Linked DNA regions of Danio rerio. The protein of the gene in region 2 binds, or shares a complex with, the protein of the main gene of each other region. Links are inferred from orthologs where the notes say so. Each region holds a gene or a part of one and is shown on either strand. Other genes may lie near its edges. The genes, in order: mmaa and mmut.

What was found.
Region 1: the proteins of mmut (region 2) and mmaa are in contact, whole or in part, in a crystal structure (PDB 8GJU), measured with the Homo sapiens proteins. The link is inferred for Danio rerio from reciprocal best matches to the Homo sapiens genes MMUT and MMAA. Residues at the interface, in NP_000246.2 of Homo sapiens: Lys496, Glu609, Arg610, Glu611, Gly612, Arg613, Arg614, Arg616, Ala635, Thr636, Ala639, Asp640, Gly642, Phe643, Asp644, Val645, Asp646, Ile647, Gly648, Pro649, Leu650, Phe651, Gln652, Glu656, Gln659, Gln660, Val662, Asp663, Ala664, Asp665; in NP_001362573.1 of Homo sapiens: Arg98, Ala99, Ala102, Glu103, Thr106, Glu109, Ser110, Thr111, His112, Ser182, Ser186, Gly187, Gly188, Ser189, Leu190, Leu191, Lys194, Thr195, Met197, Thr198, Ser201, Arg202, Met204, Tyr207, Ile208, Arg209, Pro210, Ser211, Pro212, Arg214.

The regions. Positions count from the first base shown.
Region 1 is NC_133176.1:39,117,336-39,127,209, reverse strand, and holds the end of mmaa (methylmalonic aciduria type A protein, mitochondrial), read right to left. Parts: intron 5,359-9,874; coding exon 5,071-5,358; 3' UTR 4,809-5,070; downstream 1-4,808. UniProt on the Homo sapiens protein: GTPase, binds and hydrolyzes GTP. Involved in intracellular vitamin B12 metabolism, mediates the transport of cobalamin (Cbl) into mitochondria for the final steps of adenosylcobalamin (AdoCbl) synthesis.
Region 2 is NC_133195.1:47,755,557-47,766,749, forward strand, and holds part of mmut (methylmalonyl-CoA mutase, mitochondrial), read right to left. Parts: coding exon 10,906-11,193; intron 7,599-10,905; coding exon 7,441-7,598; intron 7,039-7,440; coding exon 6,867-7,038; intron 4,165-6,866; coding exon 3,916-4,164; intron 1-3,915. UniProt on the Homo sapiens protein: Catalyzes the reversible isomerization of methylmalonyl-CoA (MMCoA) (generated from branched-chain amino acid metabolism and degradation of dietary odd chain fatty acids and cholesterol) to succinyl-CoA (3-carboxypropionyl-CoA), a key intermediate of the tricarboxylic acid cycle.

The DNA.
Region 1 (9,874 bases), on a different chromosome or scaffold from region 2:
TTTATGTTGAAGTATTTTTATTCTTTATTGTAAATGGAAGAGATGCATAAACACAAATATAAACTTTAAAAAAATGTTTAAAAATGTATTTAATGTTTTATTTTTACTGAAAATAAATTGACCCATTTTGGATAAAGCAAAATGCCTTTTATAGTTCTTGAATAAACACATTTGACACTGTTAAGGTACAAAGCGTCTTGCCACTGTAGTGGTACCTTCATGGATAACATTTGTACCTTTGATGAAGGTAGGATATTGTATCTGCAGGTTTTAAAAACAAAAGGTACATTTTGGTTTTCCATGGTACAAATTATGTTCTTAAAGGTACAAACTGCAATGGTGCAAATGTGTTTCTTTGTCTTAAGGTAAATTCTGTGTCATAAAAAGGTACTGCCCCAATGACTTTTGACAGTTTTTTCTGAAAGTGAAAGTGTTTATAACCGCCTCCGAGGATAGTGGGGGTCGCGAGTCACTGGAATTGTTATTGTGGGGGTAGCGAGTTGAAAAGTTTAAGAACCCTTGATTTAGATTACTCAAATGCTCATCTTTAATTCTGAGATTAAAGTTTGTTTTAGTAATTATGCTGTTATTTGACATTTTCTGTTGTTATTTTGCTGTATTTTATAGTATTTAATAAAATAGTTTTTAGATTGTAGGATTTATATTAGTTTTAATTCTTTTAAGTATAATTTAGAGTAAAAAAAATGACATCTGAGATATGACTATACAAAAAATTTATTTACTTTAAGAATATTTTTTAATAATATTCCTTTTTTCATTTTCTTTTCGGCTTAGTCCCTTTATTAATCTAAAGTCGCCACAGCAGAATGAGCCCCTAACTTATGCCCTTCCAGCTGCATCCCATCACTGGGAAGCATTCACACACACTCATTCACACACATACACTAAGGACAATTTAGCCTACCCAATTCACCTGTACCGCATGTCTGTGGACTGTGGGGAAAACCAGAGCACCTGGAGGAAATCCACGCGAATGCGGGGAGAACATGCAAACTCAACACAGAAACGAAAACTGATCCAGCCGAGGCTCAAACCAGCGACCCTCCTGCTGTGAGCGAATGTGCTACCCACTGCACCATGATAATAATAATTCATTCATTCATTTTCTTGTCGGCTTAGTCTCTTTATTAATCCGGGGTTGCCACAGCGGAATGAACCTCCAACTTATCCAACATGTTTTTACATAGCAGATGCCCTTTCAGCCACAACCCATCTCTGGGAAAATAATAATAATAATAATAATAATAATAATAATAATAATAATAATAATATATAAAATATTTTTAATAATATATGAGACATGCACTTTAGAAAAGATTTATCAATAAATCAAAAGTAATAAAAAATGTATTTACTTTAGGTTAAATTCATAAAATAATTCCTTAAAAAACAGTGAACACTGTTTTAAATAAAACAAAAAAAAAAGGAAAACAAATTCTGCCAGAACACTCACTAGTCATTTTTACAGACATTTCCATTAACTTAAACATAAGATACATAATTCATATTGAGAATTCCTTTTATTAATAGTACTTAACACTAATTAACAATTTTCCCAGTACTGGGTTGTGGCTGGATAGGCATCCACTACATAAAGCATATGCTGGAATAGTTGGCAGTTCATTCTGCTGTGGCGACCTCTGAAATAGAGACTAAGCTGAAGGAAAATGAATGATATATTAACAATTTATTATTTTAATAAAGGCTGCTTAAAAAGCAGCATTACCACCCCAGAAATCAATTACGCTTTAAAAACATTCAAATATGAAACATTAAATATGTGTTATTTTAAATAACATTTCATACACACAATTGCTGTACTTCTGATTCATTAAACGAAGCATCCATGAACAAAATATTTCAAAAAAACAAAAACAAGAATCTCTTTGACTGGTATTGCTATTTATATTTCTAAAATAATGAAAAGGCATGGTCACGATATTAAACTTGATTACATTCTATGCCTCTAGGTTCTTGCATGCAGTACATGAAACCAATTTTCTTAATGTTAACCGTGTACATAAACACAGTTCGCTCTGCAACATGATCTCTCAGACAGCAGGTTTCCTCGCTCCTGGACTCACATGTAACGTATCTCCGCTTCCACTGGAAGGCCAAGAGCTTTTATTGGTGATTGATGGAGAGGGCGGCCCTCAGGTCTTCAGAGTTCATCAGTATTCACAAAGCATTCCAGTCTGAGTCATAAGACAGAAGAGCAAGGCATAATGACTAGAAAGCATGTGCGCAGGAAAACAGCAGAACATCCCGTCTTGACGCAAACACGGCACAGCTTGCCGGACAAAAGCCACCAGATGAGGTCACGCGAACTTGGGGTTCACAGAAATGACACAATGGTGACAACAAACAGGGTGCTGTTCGACATGGCGTATTCTCCTGGAGTTTGTGATTCTGAGTAGTGCTACAGGAATCAACAGGAGAGGGCTGGTAGTCAGCATATTCGGAGTCTGTTAAGGACGACACAGTGCTGTAGGCTGAGACAAACAGCAGTGGCATGCAGAAGAGCTGATTTACATAATGGACACAGATCTGGCCAGGTCTACAGGTCCATCTAGTGTCAGGCTGAGAGAAGATCACTTTTTACTGTATGAGCTCATTGAAATTCGTGGAGTGGATTTCTTATGTAAGATTAGCAGAATTACTTGTGGTCGTAGACGTGTAGAGAACGCAACAGTAAAAATAGCAAAATGTTAGATGTTTGCATATTTAACAAGTCCATACTGCATGAAGAGAAAGGTCATATATAGGGGCCTTAAGCAATTCCAGCCATGGGGCCCAAGTCCTGAAAGGGACCCTTTCTACTTTTATTAATTTTTATTTATATTGCTGTTTTTTATTTTACCCAATCTTATTTTTAATTAATGCAATCTCTACATTTTAAATGATTATTTTCCTTAAAATAAAATTACAACTAAAAATAATATAATTTTTATAAATTTGACTGCTGGACTGTTCCATGATGGATATTTTATTTTGTATTATTTAATTATTACATAACATTACATTATTATAATATTCTATTTGATTGTATACTAAACACAAATTGTTTATGTTAAAATTGTACCTGTTTAACTCTCACCATACAAAATATGATAGAAAACAATGTTATATATAGTTTATAGGGTATAATTTATACTTCTTGGGGGCCTCCATGTTTCTTAAGTGGCCACTTACCTTGCTTATTGGTTAAATCAGCCCCTGGTCATTTGTTGAATTGTATATAAACACATGTATATAAGTACATGTCAGGCCTGTAGGCAGCCTGGTGAAAGTGGTGGTTCTTTTTTTTTCTCAAAAAGTGGATCTTTTTGCAGTTATCATTTTCTTTTTAATTATGAGATTCAAATACTGCATTTTAGTGATAATTTAAACACAGTTTTTAGCTGAATTAGCTGGTTGTGTGTTCACTTTTTGAAGTAGCAAAAATATTTCTTAAAGATTTAAAATAAAAAAAATATAAATACTTATTTTTAAAATATAAATGTAACTCATCATATATCATTAGAAAAAAATAGGAATCTGTTAAAACTTTTAAATTAAAAACTGGAGCTTATTGTCATTCATTTGGCAAATAACAAACTGGCCAGAACATTAAACTTTCCTCAGTCAGAAATTGGCCATTTGAATAATAAACTATTAAAACAAAATAGTAATAATAATAATAATAATAATAATAATAATGCAGAGCTTCACGATTTTACATTTGAAAATTCATGGATAATAGCCAAGTTTTCAAATAAATTTTAATATGGGCTGCTTTTGGTGCTTCACACCATTTTATTGGTAATTTTTTTTTGTTTGTTTGTTTCAAAAAGTAATTGTAAAAATGTTTTCTCTATTTAACAACGATACAGTAGGTAAGTAGTGAAAGATGACATCACTCACGTCAGATGTGTTTTTCTTTACAGCTGGATGTTGAACTAAAAAACAATTGTTTGCATTGGATATAACTTGTTAGCTAAAGTCTTGCAGAAGGGACAGTCAACAGAGTATTCTCCTGGTCTTAAAGCCTTTTTCTATGGGTTAATTTCCCAACTATGGTGGCATAGCAGATAAAGTAAGACAAATGAGTTCATATGGGACAAATTCTGGACCTTTGTCAGTGAGGGGCGGGTCTTTCGAACCACCCGAACTCTACTGGTTACAGGCCTGCATGTTGATGTATAGTCACTTGTTTTCAATGTAATACATTTATGCTCAATTATCACATTAACATCTATTTTAGCCACACACTGTAGCATATGTTTATCTTTATGGTTTCATAGTAAAATTGGCAGCAGTCAAAAAGAAAAAAAGTCATTATAGTTAGTTCTGTGAAGATAATGTTTAATAAATAATATAACATAAACATAATATAATATAAACATATATAAAACAAGTATATAATTTTTAAAGTATAAAAATATTATTTAGCTTTTTATATTCTAGCATTACTGTTACTGTAATATATTTATGTAATTGTAATTTATGTAGTGGCAATTATTATGTTTTATGTAATTCTCAGCATTACAAAATGTATTTTTCACAAAATGGCCTTTTCTTTTAGCTTCTATTATTAATTTATTACCATATATTAGGAAAACGTTTTTAATAGAAAATATTTAATAATTTTAAAATATTGATATTTCTAAAACAATCAATAAAAAAACTAAAAATATATAATTATGCTAATTGTCATGCTATAAGATATTCTTTCAAGCTTTTTTTTACTTAATCTTATCACTGTTGATGATGGTAGGCAACAAAATATCAAGAAATGAAAAAAATAATCAGAAGAAAATTACATTTTATTGTCAAGTCCCAAAATGTACATATTCCTCAAAAAATCCAACACATATTAGTCATTTAATCTCATCTACAGGACAAGATAACACTAAGACAATATTAGAACATAATCATCAAAAGTCACCAGTAATTAAAATCCTTTAAAATCAAGTGAAGCAACATTTGTAAGATTCAATCTTGCAATGATTTTTCCATTCAAGTAATCCCTAAAACAACCAGTTTTTCCCCCATAAAGCAGCCCCTCCATCACTGTGTGTCTGTGAAAACTTTGAGCAGCAGGTCAGCAGCGAGTCCAGGTGAGATTTCTCCACACGTGACTCTGCTCTCCAGCTCTGGGAGCTCTGCACGCACCGCTGGATGCTGTTGGAAGTGGCGGAGAGCATTCTCCTGGATCAGACTCCACATCCACACCTTCTGCTGAGTCTGCCGTCGGACTTGGAGCTCCCCGCTGCTCAGCATCTCCTCCCGGAAGTGCAGCATGGTTTCCCAAAGCTCCGGCACACCCTGCCCCGTCTGAGAGGATATGCGCACCACCTGACCACATGTGAAGAGAGCCAGAAAAAGGACGAATATAAATGTGTTGACAAGAGATCACCATCTGAAGCAGTGTTGATTGATTATCACTGACATACTGATGTTTATTAATAGATTAAATAGTTGTTTTAAATGTTTTAGTGATTTAGTTATTAAAATTCCACTATATTGCATTATTTTATTACATTTTATTCCCCAGTTAATGTTAAGGCACAATAAAAACCAGTTGTTTTTTGTTTACATTCTTATATGGCCCTCTCATAAAAAAATATTTCAAGGGCCATTTTTTTTTAAACCCTTTAAGGGACATTTTGTACATGCTTGCATGTTTTATTACTTTTCAGTTTTCCCAGCTAACATTAGATTAGAAGTTTACATTTGAGTGCTAGTAAACTATAATAAAAAGCTAAGGAGATATTTATAATTTTTTTATATGACTATATTTCATTATTATAGCCGTTTTTTTCAGTTAATCAAAAACAGCAACTATTATTTAGTTTAAAGCATTTATGATAAAACTTTAAAGGATTTCTTATTTATTAATTTTGCATGCCTACATATTTTAATATTTTTATTTCAGTTTTCAACAGTTCATGTTAAGCATAGCAAAAAAAGAAGTTGCTAGTCAACGATGATTAAATGGAATTTATTACATTTGTATTTGACTATAAACATTTTAGTATTATTTCAATTTTATTTTCAGTTAAATGTGAAAAAGAAAATGAATGATTTAAATTTTAACATTTTAGTGTCAATTTACTACATTATTCCTGCTCTAAAACAAATCAATCATTATCAATGTGTAATATAATATAAGAGCGATATCACTCGTGGCAGTGTGATTTGGTTGTATATCGGCACTGATGGGAGACGTGTGTTGCCTTAGTGTCACACAAGTGACAATATACAGCCCTATCGCACTGCTACGAGTGTGATATTGCATTTATACAACAGTTCCACGGCATAGTCGTGTATAAAAAAAGAAGATCAAACACAGAGAATCTAAAAACCCTTTTGTATGAGGAACTACTTTCTTTCTTGTGCAGTTGACGTCAGAACAGCAGAAACCATTGCTACATCACCAACATCACTGTAGAGCTAGTGCTTGAATGATTCTCTAGCGTAATGTCTAAAGTGAAGACAAAACAGCTGATTTTGCTCACAGTTTAAGATTATAGGGCTGAACGGCATGAAATGCCATCAGTCTACAGACATTTCTCAGTATTTCTCTGTTGCATTAGAAATTTCGCAATAATCATCCCCAAAAAAGTTAAAGCCACGCAAACACTTCCAGATTACTGTTGTGTTTGCGATAAGTAAAAATGCTAAACGCATGCGGGCATTTCTTCTTTCTTTTTTTTACTTAACTAGTCTGCAGTAACGAAAACAGGGGACGCATTAGAAACAAACAGATGGCTAACCAAAAAGTGATTCAAGGTTATGCAAAGAGTGGCCAACACAAAGTACATACATTACTGATATGTCAGTCCCATCTCACACTCAATACACCACAATTACTATGGTATAAATACAGCACTTTAACATTCAAAAAAGAGAGACAGAGTTTTATGATGTTTCGATCAGCTGTAGTTAGACATTGCGCTGAGTTTTTCTCTTCTAAGGGCTAACCATGTGTTCTCTGTTGCCATCTTGTGGATAGACAATGTCAACCGTCTTTGCTCAGTACGACTAATGGTTGCTTGCTCGCAGTATCTCTTAAATTATAAATATTTAAAATAGGCACTGTCTTTATAAATTAACTGCATAGTTGCTATTTAAACAACTACATTCTAACCTAAAAAGCCTCAAAAGTACATTATGTTGTCCAACAGCAGCAATATCTGTCAAACTGTAGTGAGTTTAATGATCTGCTGTCACTCTATGTGGGCGGAGTAATACACAAGAGTGAAAAGACTGTACGAGTTCTGATATTGCAGAATATTGCGTGGCTATCAGCCCATCAGATTCGAGAATCAGACAGAACTGTTGTATATAATATAATATTAAATATTTTGTTAAAATAGTTTTTTGTTGTGCTTTTGTGTATATACACATTACAATGCAGTGCAAACCCAATATAAAAATGCTGGGTTCTACACAATTCCACCATGTTGTAACAACACATCTTAAGTGGATTAAACAAAACAATTAAGTTGTCCCTCTAAAAAACCTAACAAATTGTGGTGTTTCAAATAATTTTAAATGAATAGTTTGAACAAGCAGCAAAGGTAATTTTTGAGCGCATTTTAAGATCTTATATTCATCTTGTTTTGAGGGAAAAAAAGAATGGAAGCAGGCAGTAGCTTTACATCCGAACAGCAAGAATGCAGAAATGTAAAGAGTGTTCGCCCACACATGTCACTCCATCCTTGGTTTTAGTAGACCTTTATACTGGAAAGTCTTTAGGGAGGGCAAAAAAAAAAAAAAAAATCAATATGACCGTCGCATCCTCCAGTACAGGAATGAAGCTCAGAAATCATGCTGCTAAGAGGAGACAAAGACTTTAGCGCTTCTCATCCATGTGGGTGGCCTCTAATCAGTGAAATGCATGAGGCAGCATTTGGCCATTCAAAGGGCTGCCTATGTTGGCTCTGTGCCCTGCGGGTAGAAGTAATACTGGGACTGAGGAGACAAAGAGGAAGAACTTGACAACGTAGAGCAGAGCATGATGGGAAATGACAGTAAAGACGACTTCACTGGACAGGATGGCTCTTCTAAACAAATAATAAAGGTATAGAATTAAAACGCTTTTAAAATAAGCCCCTATTATGCATTAAAAAGGGTTTTATTTAGGTTTTGGGGGTCTCCAACAACAGGCTGATATGCATGCAAGGTCAAAAAACATTTTCATTGTCTTATAATATGTATTTATTTTTACCTAATTATACCAGCGACTCCTATATGATTCGTTCAGCGATTTATTTGTTCCCAAACTTCTCCTCAGCACAACTGGTTTGATGACTCAGTCTGTTGTGATTTGTCTACTACGTTTAGCGCGAGACAGAGATAAATGCCAACCACGGCTCATCAACAATTTTGTTGTAGTCAGTGTGCAGAGTGTATGTGTGAGCATACCTGCCAACACTCCCGTATTTCAGACCCATCTCCCGCCACCCTCCCATTTTGTTGTTTCTCCTGGAAAACTCAAGTAAATTCTTCCCCCTCAAGCTCTGCAAAGTCCCATATAGTCTTTTCTGATCCTTTCTTTAACAAATGGCTGACAAATCACCTGTTGTAAGCATGTAGATTCTTGAAGCACTCGTCAAAAAAATGACGAGAACACAGCACAATGCTGGGGCTACAATGCAGAGGTATTTTTGCATAAATAAACTTCAACCACTGACTCTTTACAGCCTCATCTTTGGGTAGGAAAAATAACACAAATTTTCGCTCACACTTCAGAGCACAGCGTCTTTGCGACATGATTCAACCAGGGTCTGCAACAGTGCTTGTCTTCTTATTTTTAAAACTTTTTCAATCCTTTTAAACATGGTGCACTTTCATATTTAAGCCTTAGCTGGATATTTTACTTTTCACTTAAAGCTCTGTTACTGCATGAAAGGTCATTTTCAAAAACCCATAATAGAGGCTGTTTATTACTTATATGAAAGGGTGGCAAAGAAGAAAAAAGTTAAAATGAGGACAAAGATATATAAACACTGTTGATTTTTGAATGATAACAATTTAATGTTAATAAAATAATGAAAAAATATACATTAAATTATTATCAAATTAAATAGAGTCCCTCCAGACCGGTGGAAGTCATCTTACATTTTATACAGTTTATGGGTGATGAACATGATGCAAGTGAGTAACTGACTGCATGATGGAGCCTATAGAATGCTGTCGTATGAGCCTAAATTCAAGATACTGAAGTCAAAACGGCCTTAATCTTGCCAACAAAAATATTAAGTCAGAGCAGAAGTGCATCTCTAATACACTCTAAACCAGGCATGTCCAAACGAGGTCCTGGAGGGCCGGTGTCCTGCAAAGTTTAGTTCCAACCTCAATCAGACACACCTGGGCTAGCTAATCAAGCTCTTACAAGGCTATCTAAAAACATCTGTGCAGGTGTGTTGAGGCAAGTTGGAGCAAAAACCTGCAGGACACCAGCCCTCCAGGACCGAGTTTGGACATCCCTGCTCTAAACACTTAAATAAATGAAAGAAAATACAAGTATATAAATTAAACCAACAGATTTGTTCATTTGCAGATTAATCCCTTTTGAATCATTTAATTTCTATTCATACTCATTTTCTTAATTCCTGAATGAATCAGCATTTTGAATGAATCAAATGAATAAATGAAAAAAAAAAATCTTGACATTCTAATATAAAATACAAATCTTTTGTAACTATTCAAAATCACTAACTTTTCACTTTTTCACTTATATATACGGTGGTCCCTTGTTAATTGCGGAAATTGCATTCTAAAAATAGCCCACAATAGGTGAAATCCCTGAAGTAGTCCACTATTTTTTACTATTATAGGTGTTTTAAGGTTGTAAAACCCATCA
Region 2 (11,193 bases):
AACTTTTTTTTTTCTAGTTTTAAAGGTATGTTAAAAGTAGAAAAATTAATGGAATATTTAGAGATTTCATGTATAATTTAATAAATGAATCTGTATAATTACATTAATAACCTGCATATTTACAGTAATTATCCTTATAATCAAATTAATTATCTGTATAATTACATTAAGAAATTTTATATTTACAGTAATAATTTGTAAAATGACAATAATATTCTGTGTAATTGCAATATCCATTTACTCGCACGCGCCTGTCAGAATCGGCAGTCAGGCGCAGAAGCTCTATTGAATATACTGGGGTAAAATAAATGCTCATATTATAAAGACATGGCGGGGGAAAATGTAATTTAATGCAGTGCTTCTTGTACAATCTGAGACCCACTTTATATCGGATATTACTCAGCCATTGGAGATCACTGATTTGTAAAGAAAACGGACCTTAAACGGATCGAATTTGCATTGGCATTCAAATCACAGGAAACGATTAACCCAGGTTACTGGCAAATTAAAAGTCCTATTAGTATGCTTCAGCATATTCCCGTAATTGTAATTACAGTTAAAATCTGTAAAATGACAGTAATAACTTTTAATTAGGGAACAAGAAATTACTGTTTTTTTACAGATTATCTACATTTTTTTATTCTGACAGTCTTTTTTCCTTTTGTTACGGTAATTTTCTGGAGCCCCAGCTGCCAGAAAATTACATTTTTTACGTTTTTTTTTTATTTTATTATTTTTGTACTTATTTCTAAATCCAAGAATTATTTTGTTTTATGAGATGTAAATGAAAATGCTGTTGTCATTATTACTATTATTATTATTAATTAATTAAATATAATGGATAAAACATATCTAGGTTAAATAATTTATTCATGCAGCCAGCTTTAATACTACAGAATAATACAGATTACAGTAAATATACAGAATACGGATTATTTTTAAATTAATTTTTAAGATTTAACTATTCATTAATTCATTCATTCATTAAAGAAATGATTAATATGTATTTGTATAAGTCTTAATAAATTGTATTAGTTTTATTTAAAATAATATTAAAAAATAAAATAAATAAAAAAATCACAAAATAATAATTCTGTAATTATATAATTCACATTCAAATAATGAGTCCAGAATCAAATAAACAATCATTACATCACGTGCTTTAAATCAACTTTTTGAACCGCAAATTCAGATTTATTACATTAAGTCAAGTGCGTTTTTCATTATGCGGACATATGACGGGAAAAACAAAAATTGTTGACAAATACTGTAACTAAATACATTTTTCGCCACTAGCTAGGTAGAAATGCTAAATATCTCATAAAAATCTCTTAATTTGTGAAAAGTTTAACACAAACATAAGGTGTTACTGGAATTGTGAAAAAAGGGTTAATGTGCATAAATGAAAGATGGAAACACATTTGCCAATAAACTCTGACGTCGCGAACATTACACCAATGTGACCAATCAGCTGTCTCCATTATGCTTGTGTAACCCCGCCAGTCGCACGCCACCCAACCTGTTCCGAGCTGGTATCAAGTCGGCGACGTTCCACCTGGGAGTCGGTTGCTCTACCAAGGAGGCTAAAGAGCATAGCCTCTAGCGTCTGTCGATAGAGCACCTTTAGAGGTCAGAGGAATGAGGTTTACCTGCACAGCACCTACTGGCTGGCCTCTGATACACTTGCCTTGTTTACTGTTGGTTATTAGGTTACCAATACAATAGCTTGACAGAACTTGACAGAAATGCACCTTATTGCATTTAGGATTTTATATATATATATATATATATATATATATATATATATATATATATATATATATATATTTATATATATATTAAGGGTGGAGCCGAACCTGAATACGGTATTCGGAAAGGCACGAATAGCGTGTTTTTACGAATACTTGATTCGAACAAATACTTGAAAAATTATTTGTATTCGGGAGCAAGAAAAACACTATATCAAAAAGCAGCGTTTCCTCATGAGACCACAGTGCATGCCCGCGTAAGTGAGTGAGTGAGTGGGAGAGAGAGAGAGAGAGAGAGAGAGAGAGAGAGAGAGAGAGACGCTCAGTCGGCATGTCGGAGGGCGGGGCGGAGATAACAGGGTGTCTGGCACAAGCTTCTCCACAGCAACAGACAGAAGGCTCAGCTGAGCGAAAAAAATACTTCACTGCATTACTATTTTTGTTAAATAGATTTTTGTACCTTAATTGGGTTCCAGATGCAGTTTATAAACTTGTAGCGAATTTTAATCGGGATTTTCTATTACGCTGCATTTTTTACGTCTGCAACCGGGTGCTCTGTTTACGCAACGTTAGCTCTGTTAGCGCGGTAATTTAGAAATAGACTGTTGCCAGAGTAACGTTAACGTTCGTTTATAAAGGTTAAAACGATGCTTTTGCAGTTGTGTCGAATAGTATGCACTTATGGGAGTTATATGGTACGTCTACATTACTGTCTTTTGCAGACAGCAAGATATATGCTATAGGCTAGTTAACCTTAGCATAGCTTCCCGTCACTTTTTATTAACTTGAAACTCCTCAAATACATTTGGGCACCCAGAAAAAGAGTGAAAAAGACTGCTGCTAAGCCATTTCTTAGTCCTCCACCAGTCAAAAGAAAAAAAAACCTTCAGGTTCTGTGTGGAAGCATTTTACAGTCAGTGCTGCTGCAGATAAAACAAAGTGATACGGTATAATGTTTACAAAAGTGAAATCAGCAGAGGCAGAGATATTAAACATCTGTCAACATCTTCTATCCATAATCATTCATTCATTTCTTTTCGGCTAAATCCCTTTATCAATCTGGGGTTGCCACAGTGGAATGAACCACCAATTTATCCAGCATATGTTTTATGCAGTGGCCGCCCTTCCAGCTGCTACCCAGCACTGGGAAACATCCATACACTCTCTTTCACACACATACAATAGGGACAATTTAGCTTACCCAATTCCCCTGTATTGCAAGTGTTTGGACTGTGGGGGAAACAGGAGCACCCGGAGGAAACCCACGCCAACATGGGGAGAACCCAGTCGGGGCTCGAACCAGCAACCTTCTTGCTGTAAGGCGACAGTGCTACTCACTGTGCGACCGCGCAACCTTCTATGTAATGTATTATCACATGCACTAAAAGCATCCTCTCCTGATACTGTCTGTGAACCCCCCACAAGCATCAATCCCCTCAATCAGCACAGCTATGTTCTGCTAAATCCTCCACAAGCACCAAACCATCAACACAGCCACATTCTGCCCCAGCAAGTCAGTTTCAAACATAAAAAAAACAAACAAACAAACTTTGTGTCTGTTTTGTGGCAGGCAGATGACAATAGCAGGGCTGTATCTTTTAGTATTATATAGAATACTTTTGTTCTGCCAGATCTCCCAGGCAGGGTTTTATTTAGATTTATTTTGTTAATTTTAGTTTTTGGAATTCTGTGCATTGGAAAGAAGTTCTTTCAGAAAAAGAACAGTTTTTTGAAGTATTATTTGTTTTTATTCCGTCTATTCAGTGTCAAGAACGGTGGTGGTGGGGTTCATAATATTCACAATGGTATTTTATTAGTTGTTGGTTTAACCATGGATGAGATAATGGCTTCTATGTTATTTTCTTTTCAATGACATTTCTTGTCACATGTTCAAAAACAACAGCCAATATGGCATATCTATAATTTATATAATGGGTATAATTAAACAATACTTTCACTATAACGTAAATTAGAAGTGTAATAGAAAAAATATATATTTTTGCGCCATTTTGAATTTTACTCGAATACAAATACAAATACAAATACTTTTCCCCCCTCAACAAATACAAATACAAATACCGGCTGCTCCGCACATCCCTAATATATATATATATATATATATATATATATATATATAATTTCATTATTATTTTTTTTTCCTACGAACCTTGAGGGCCGAGTTGTAGACGTCATTGGTGAGAGCCTCCATCATGTAGGATCCACCCCAGGGATCAGCCACCTTTGGGATGCCTGACTCCTCCTGGATGATGATCTGGGTATTGCGGGCGATGCGGGCGCTCTTGACCGTGGGCAAACCCAGAGCTTCGTCAAAAGAATTGGTGTGCAAAGACTGAGTGCCTCCAAACACAGCAGCCATGGCCTCGATTACGGTACGGATCACGTTGTTGTAAGGGTCCTGAAGAGCAAATTCAATCAGAATTTAATTTATGTTTAAAGTTATTCTTGAAGTCTGTGTGAAATCAAATTTTACAGTGGTTGTTTTATTAAAGCATAATTTCTTTTAAGTATTTGGTTCCTAAAAGTTGTTTAAGTAATCTTCAATCAAATTTTGACTATTTTGCTTTCATGTTTGGAGTGGCTGTTCTTCTCTGTTGATGTCAGTTTGATGCTCCAGCCATAATATTCTCAACCACGCCCCTCTTAGTTAGCTACATGGCAATGATGTGCAAAAAGAAAGCCCCGCCCCCAACACAATATTTTGTTTCATTGCAAGTAAATCAACATACTGAAATAAAAGTCTCAGCAACTTCTGGTTCACGTGGACTTTAAGTGCCTTGAAACGTGCAGCTTTGGTTAATCTGTGATTTAATTTCAACTGAAACATGCAGACAGGGCGTCTGTCGGTAAACATGTCAATCCAACCCTAAAAGATTACAGATTTTAACATAGGATTTCAGGTCTTCTTTTAGAATTTCCCAATTTTGTTTTAGACGACCAATTCATGGCTAAAATCACACAGTTTAAGCAGAGCTTAACATATTTGAGTTCAGGGAAATTTTACAATACAGCCTGTTTTGAACCGATAGCATTTCACATGGGTGTGGCTACCAAGAGAGAGATTTGAATTTATTATATCAAATTTAATACATTTTAGAAATATCACTTTTCTATAATAATACAATTATAAAAATGAAAAAGACATTCAGCAGTAATAATCAATACATAAAACTTTTGATACATTTTTTTTTACCATTTTTGAAGTATTCAAATTTAAAAATATCTCTCCAGATAAAAATCATTGTCAGATAAGATTAAAACAAGGCATTCCAAAGGTATACATTTAAAACACTTTGATTATTTGTTGCAATATTGACACTTTGGCGGCACTTTTCTTTTGAGTAGATGTCCAAGAGTGAGTCTTGAGTGTCCGATATGGCAGTGCTCCTCAACCACCATCTTTCATCAATCTTGGATCAATCTTTTATTTTGAAAAATCTTTTATTTTGAAAAATTACCCCATTCTCTAGCTTACATCTTGGACATTTGAGAGCCCAAATTTAACTCACAAGCAGCAAAAGGAGTAAGAAACAGATGTTTTTGGAAAGTTTCTTTGCTAAAGGGAAAAAGGCCCAGCAAAGGACCCATGTAGCGCCGAGGTACAGATCTGCAAACCATTTGTCAACAAATAGGGTGAATCCAGCATGTCTGTGCATGAAGATCAACTGCTGGAGATCGCAAATGACGGTGGCCTTTTAGGGGCTGTTCGAATAGTGCGTCTTTTAGAGTTTGTTATTTCCCAGTTGAATGAATGCTTCAAGAGCATTGCAAGTCATGTGACAAGAACGGACAGATCAGCTTTATAATTTGTATGGAATATACACAATTTTCTCCATAAATAAAACTTGTATTAGAGTGAACCCCCCTTGAGTTGGGTCTAGGATGAACAGATTATTTTACAAAACATATATTTTTTTGTATTTTATCTAACTGTCATAATTAATAATCATGCAAAATATAATAAAAGTGATCTTAGCATATTACTCTAGTTTTGTCTTTACATTGTTTTCCAGTTACCATTAGGATTGTTTTCTATTTTTTATTTAGATTAATAATTGTATGAAATAATATTAATAATAATTTTATTTATAATAAATATCAATATTTTTAATAATCCCAATACTCGTTTTGTCCATATTCGGGGTGTATGTGGGGTGTTTCAACCAGGGCTCCATTTAAACTAGAACCGCTATTGCCTAAAGGTACTAATGTCCACCTGTAATACAAAAGTGTACCCTTTTGAAAAGGTACCACCCCAGTAACAGCTGCTGTACCTTTATTTAAATGCCACAGCCATATCACCCTGCAGCCCAAGACCGGTTACTCACTGAAGCTAAGCAGGGCTGAGCCTGGTTAGTACCTGGATGGGAGACTACTAGGGAACACTAGGTTGCTGTTGGAAGTGGTGTTAGTGAGGCCAGCAGGGGGCGTGGTCTGTGTGAGTCCTAATGCCCCAGTAAAAGTGACTCTCTGCGGTCATTAAAAATCCCATGGCACTTCTCGTGAAAGAGCCTTTACGATCATGGCCTCCCAATCATCCCCTTCCACCGAATTGGCTCGATCACTGTCTCTCCACTCCACCTATAGCTGGTGTGTGGTGAGCGCACTGGCGCCGTTGTCCTGTGGCTGCCGTCGCATCATCCAAGTGGATGCTGCACACTGGTGGTAGTGTGGAGAGACCCCCCTCATGATTGTGAAGCGCTTTGGGTGTATGGCCATACACAATAAATGCGCTATATAAATACACATTACATTACATATTTCTGAAAGTGCACAGATCCTATTCTGCTTGTCATTTTTTTTAAATATAGCATTTTATTAATAGTTTTAAATCTGAAGGTGGGATTTTGCACTCTTATTTTCTCTGTTAGGGCTGTTTTGGCAGGTTTGTCTGCTTGTTCATTTCCGAATAGGCCAACATGCCCTGGGATCCATTTTAAAAATTGCTTAGCTACTAAGTATACCATTATTGAAATGAAAGACAAGCAACTGACAAAATAATTAACACATATATCATATATAAGACATGTTTTTTTTTTCTGTTCACAGTTTGTTTAATGAGCCGTTCACCAGCTGGCTGTGGATTTGCGTTCAGGGTACCTGCTCAGTAAGGGACCATCCAGATGTCTGACAGTGAGTTCTCAGCAGGAGGGATTTGGAGTTCTTCGGCTGAAACTTCTCTTTGATGAGTGTCGCCCACAGACGTCGTGCTGCTCTCAGCTTCGCTATTTCCATATAAAAGTTCATCCCGATGCCCCAGAAGAAAGACAATCTAAACAGAGATGACACAAAACAGCCCGTTTCACATACTGTATATGATGAAACCTTTAGGAAACATTTTAGCTGTGCGACTCTGCGTTATTACTGGAAATGTGAGCATCTGTCTGAAGACAATTTTCTAACCCTTTTGGGGATAAGGCAAGTTTTTTTAATTGAATTGAATTGAAAATAATTCGATTTGTATATTTATTTTAAGAAGAATTAAATACTTTTAATTAATTATTTGAAAAATGATCAATGAAAGTATTAACAAATATTAACGAATGAATAATATAGCTATAACAGTGCATTACTTTAAATATAACAATTATTTTATATTCATGGTGTAATAAATTGTTTAAAATAGAATGTACTATTATTTTTATGCAGAAATGTACTGAATTTCTAAGCTAACCTGGGTGCAAATTCATCAATAGTGAGTCCAGCCTTTAGTCCAGTCCTGCAGTACTCCAGTCCATTGGCAATCGTGTAAGCCAACTCCAGGATGGCATCAGCACCAGCTTCCTGTATGTGGTATCCACTGATGGAAATAGAATTAAACTTGGGCATATTCTGAAAAAAGAAAATTCATTGTGTTGAGTAAATTTATCTAATTTTGTCAAAAGTAAAGATGTACCTTTTTATACAAAGTTCAGAATAGAACTCAATGCTTGTTTAAAATCTGTTTCAAGAGTTCACACTTAGCTGATGATTAATTATAAGCTACTTTGGCATGCTGTCCCGGGAGACCGCCCTGAGCTCATAAGATCCTCGAGCCCGGAGCTCCCTCCCGTTGCAAGGCGAGAGGGGAGTTTGAGCTCAGGTAGATCTCGAGAACTCCCCTGCTGTAGTAACTAATGAACAGATAGTGATTGCTCTTAAGAGATAAGTACTTACTAGGAGCATGTCTATAGTGCCGATTTGGATTAGTCAATTAACCGGTCACACTGTACAATAAGGTTCATTAGTTAATGTTAATTAATGCATTTACTAACATGAACAAACAATGAACAATACATCTACTGTATTTGTTCATGTTAGTTAACGTTAGTTAATGAAAATACAGTAGTTCATTGTTAGTTCATGTTAAGTCATGGTGCATTAACTAATGTTAACAAGCATGGACTTGGATGTTAATAATGCATTAGTAACTGTTCAATTATGATTAATAAATGCTGTACATGTGTTGTTCATGATTAGTTCATGTTAGTAAATGCATTAACTAATGAACCTTATTGTAAAGTGTTACCAATTAACCTAAGTTGCATGTTTTTGGACGGTGGGAGGAAACCGGGAAACCCGGGCGAAACCCAACTTGAGCACAGGGAGAAAGTGCAAACTCCGCACAGAAACGTCTACTGGTTTGGTAAAGCCTGGAACCAGAGACATTCTTGTTGTAAGGCAACAGTGCTAAGCACTGGGCCACCATGTCACCCATTTAGGAAGAGGGAGGAGTAGGGGTGGATAGGGGGACTCTCTAAAACGAAGATAGCAGTGGTACGTAACCCAAGGTATTTGTAGTAGCTTAGGAGTCATCTGATTAGTGCATTGAGAATTGGATTATACAGATCCAGCCGCTAGCAATCATAAGCTTGTGATCTTCTCGAAATTAAATTTCTTTCTTTTGTTAAAACACAAAGACAACATTTTCATTTTTACAAGAAAATGCCATGATGTTGTTATCAAGACTTTGCTTTCTGCTTTCAGAAAAAGAGGGGAAAATAGTGTGAGACTGATAACGGCAGCCAGAGGAGAGAACAACATCAAATTTACTTTCAGCCCCATAGACTCTGCATTACAAATGCCTCACATAGGCGGTGAATCGTTTTTTGTAATTTAACGCAACAATGATATAACATACATAAATGCATATAAATGTTCATACTTTTTTAAAAAAATAAAAATAAAAAAAACGCATCATAACAATCTTGTGAAAAGGGTCCATATAATCAACTACCTCCGAAATAATGCAGTGTTTCTGTCAGTTTAATCGCTTGTTCTGTACTGAAATAGGTCCGTGTATATTTTGGTCATTGGATGTTCATTAAGGAAACAGATATTGAAAAAAAAGTTGTTTTTTGATTATCTTTTTTTTTTTAATCAAAAACGTAAATTGAAATATGAGGTGTTTTCTTTTTTATGGTAAAAAAAGGATAATCAAAATTTTAAAAACTATTTGAACTTCATTTTTTTTTAAATTTCGAATAACAAAAAAAATCGCCAGAAAACAAAAACAAAAAGGGCTCATTTTATGTATTCCGAGACCAGTTAGGCCCAATCATTCAAGATGACGCAATGCTGCCACACACAGGCTACTATGCTACTACATTATTAGGCTATTATTTTTTCCACTCAATTATGTTTTAAAAATGTATTTTATTGTGATAATGGGATTTTGTGAAGACACATTAAGATAAACATTTATATACAGTTGAAGTCAGAATTATTAGCCCCCCTGGATTATTACTTATTTATTAATTATTAATAATTATTAATTATTAAAATAATTTTAGAACAATTTCTGTTTAAATGAAAGATTTTTTTCAACATTTCTAATCATAATAGTTTTAATAACTCATTTCTAATGACGGATTTATTTTATCTTTGCCATGATGACAGTAAATAATATTTGACTAGATATTTTTCAAGACACTTCTATACAGTTTAAAGAGACATTTAAAGGCTTAACTAGGTTACTTAAGTTAACTAGGCAGGTTAGGGTAATTAGGCAAGTTATTGTATAACGATGATTTTTTCTGTAGACTATCAAAAAAATATAGCTTAAAGGGACCAATAATGTTGACCTTAAAATGTTTTTCGAAAAATTAAAAACTGCTTTTATTCTAGCCGGAATAAAACAAATAAGCCTTTCTCCAGAACAAACATTATTATAGGAAACACTGTAAAAATTTCCTTGCTCTGTTAAACATAATTTGGGAAATATTTAAAAAAAAAAAAAAAAAAAAAAAAATCAAAGGAGGGCTAATAATTCTGACTTCAACTGTACATAAATGCACATACAGAGTGTGTATTTAGGAAAGTTTTTATAGCTGCAAAAAAAAAAAAAAAAAAAAAAAAAAACAATGTTTATTTGTTTGGTTAATTAAATAAAAATAATAATTAAATAAAAACTGTAAAAAGTTAAATAAGACAATTTTGGTTATTTAAAAAAATAAATATATAGCCTATAAAAAATGCTATTATATATTTTTGATTAAGCAAATGTACGTATTTTTTATTTAAAAAAAACTATGCATTTTCTATTTGGCCTACTTAAATTTTATATTTGGGCTACCAATAAAAAGAGTGCCTGCCCAGAGGGCTATCAGGAATTCAAATAAAACCAAATCTTTTGAGTTTAAAACAACTAGCTAAAGCAAACCATTAGGGGAATTTCATTTGAATTTAAAGTGAAAGTAACCAAAACAACACAATTTGGAAGCCTAAAACGGACAGTTTCAAAGAGGTATAAACCATTATTTTGGTGGTATTTTGAGCTGACACTTCACATACACACTCTATGATGCCCACACCTCCTTTGTATTCTATCCCCTTGGGTAGGGCCGCACAATATATTGTTTAAGCATCAATATCGCAATGTGTGTTATTTTATTAATAATTTATCCAATTATAAACATGTTATTTTACGTTTGATTGTTAAATTTCTCTACCTAATTACTGTTAAGACTCTCTTGATCATCCTGATTTCTCTAAATGAATGAAAACTTTCCAAATATGAAATTATATTCATATCGCAATATATATATATATGATCGCAGAAATATGAAATATCACAATGTCCGATTTTTTCAATATCGTGAAGCCCTACCCTTGGGTCAGATTTTCACTATAAGACAATGAATTGCAAAAAAGTCATCACCTTTGAAGTGTAGGCGAAGATATCTGCGATGGCGTGCATTGAGGGCTCTGGAGGGAAGATGTATGTGTTTCGCACCATGAACTCTTTGAGGATGTCATTCTGGATGGTGCCCGTCAGCTTCTCCTTCGGCACACCTTGCTCTTCTCCAGTCACGATGAACATGGCTAGAATGGGAATGACGGCTCCGTTCATTGTCATCGATACGGACATCTTCTCCAGTGGGATGCCGTCGAACAGGAGTTTGGTGTCCTCTACGGTGTCGATGGCTACACCCGCCATACCCACATC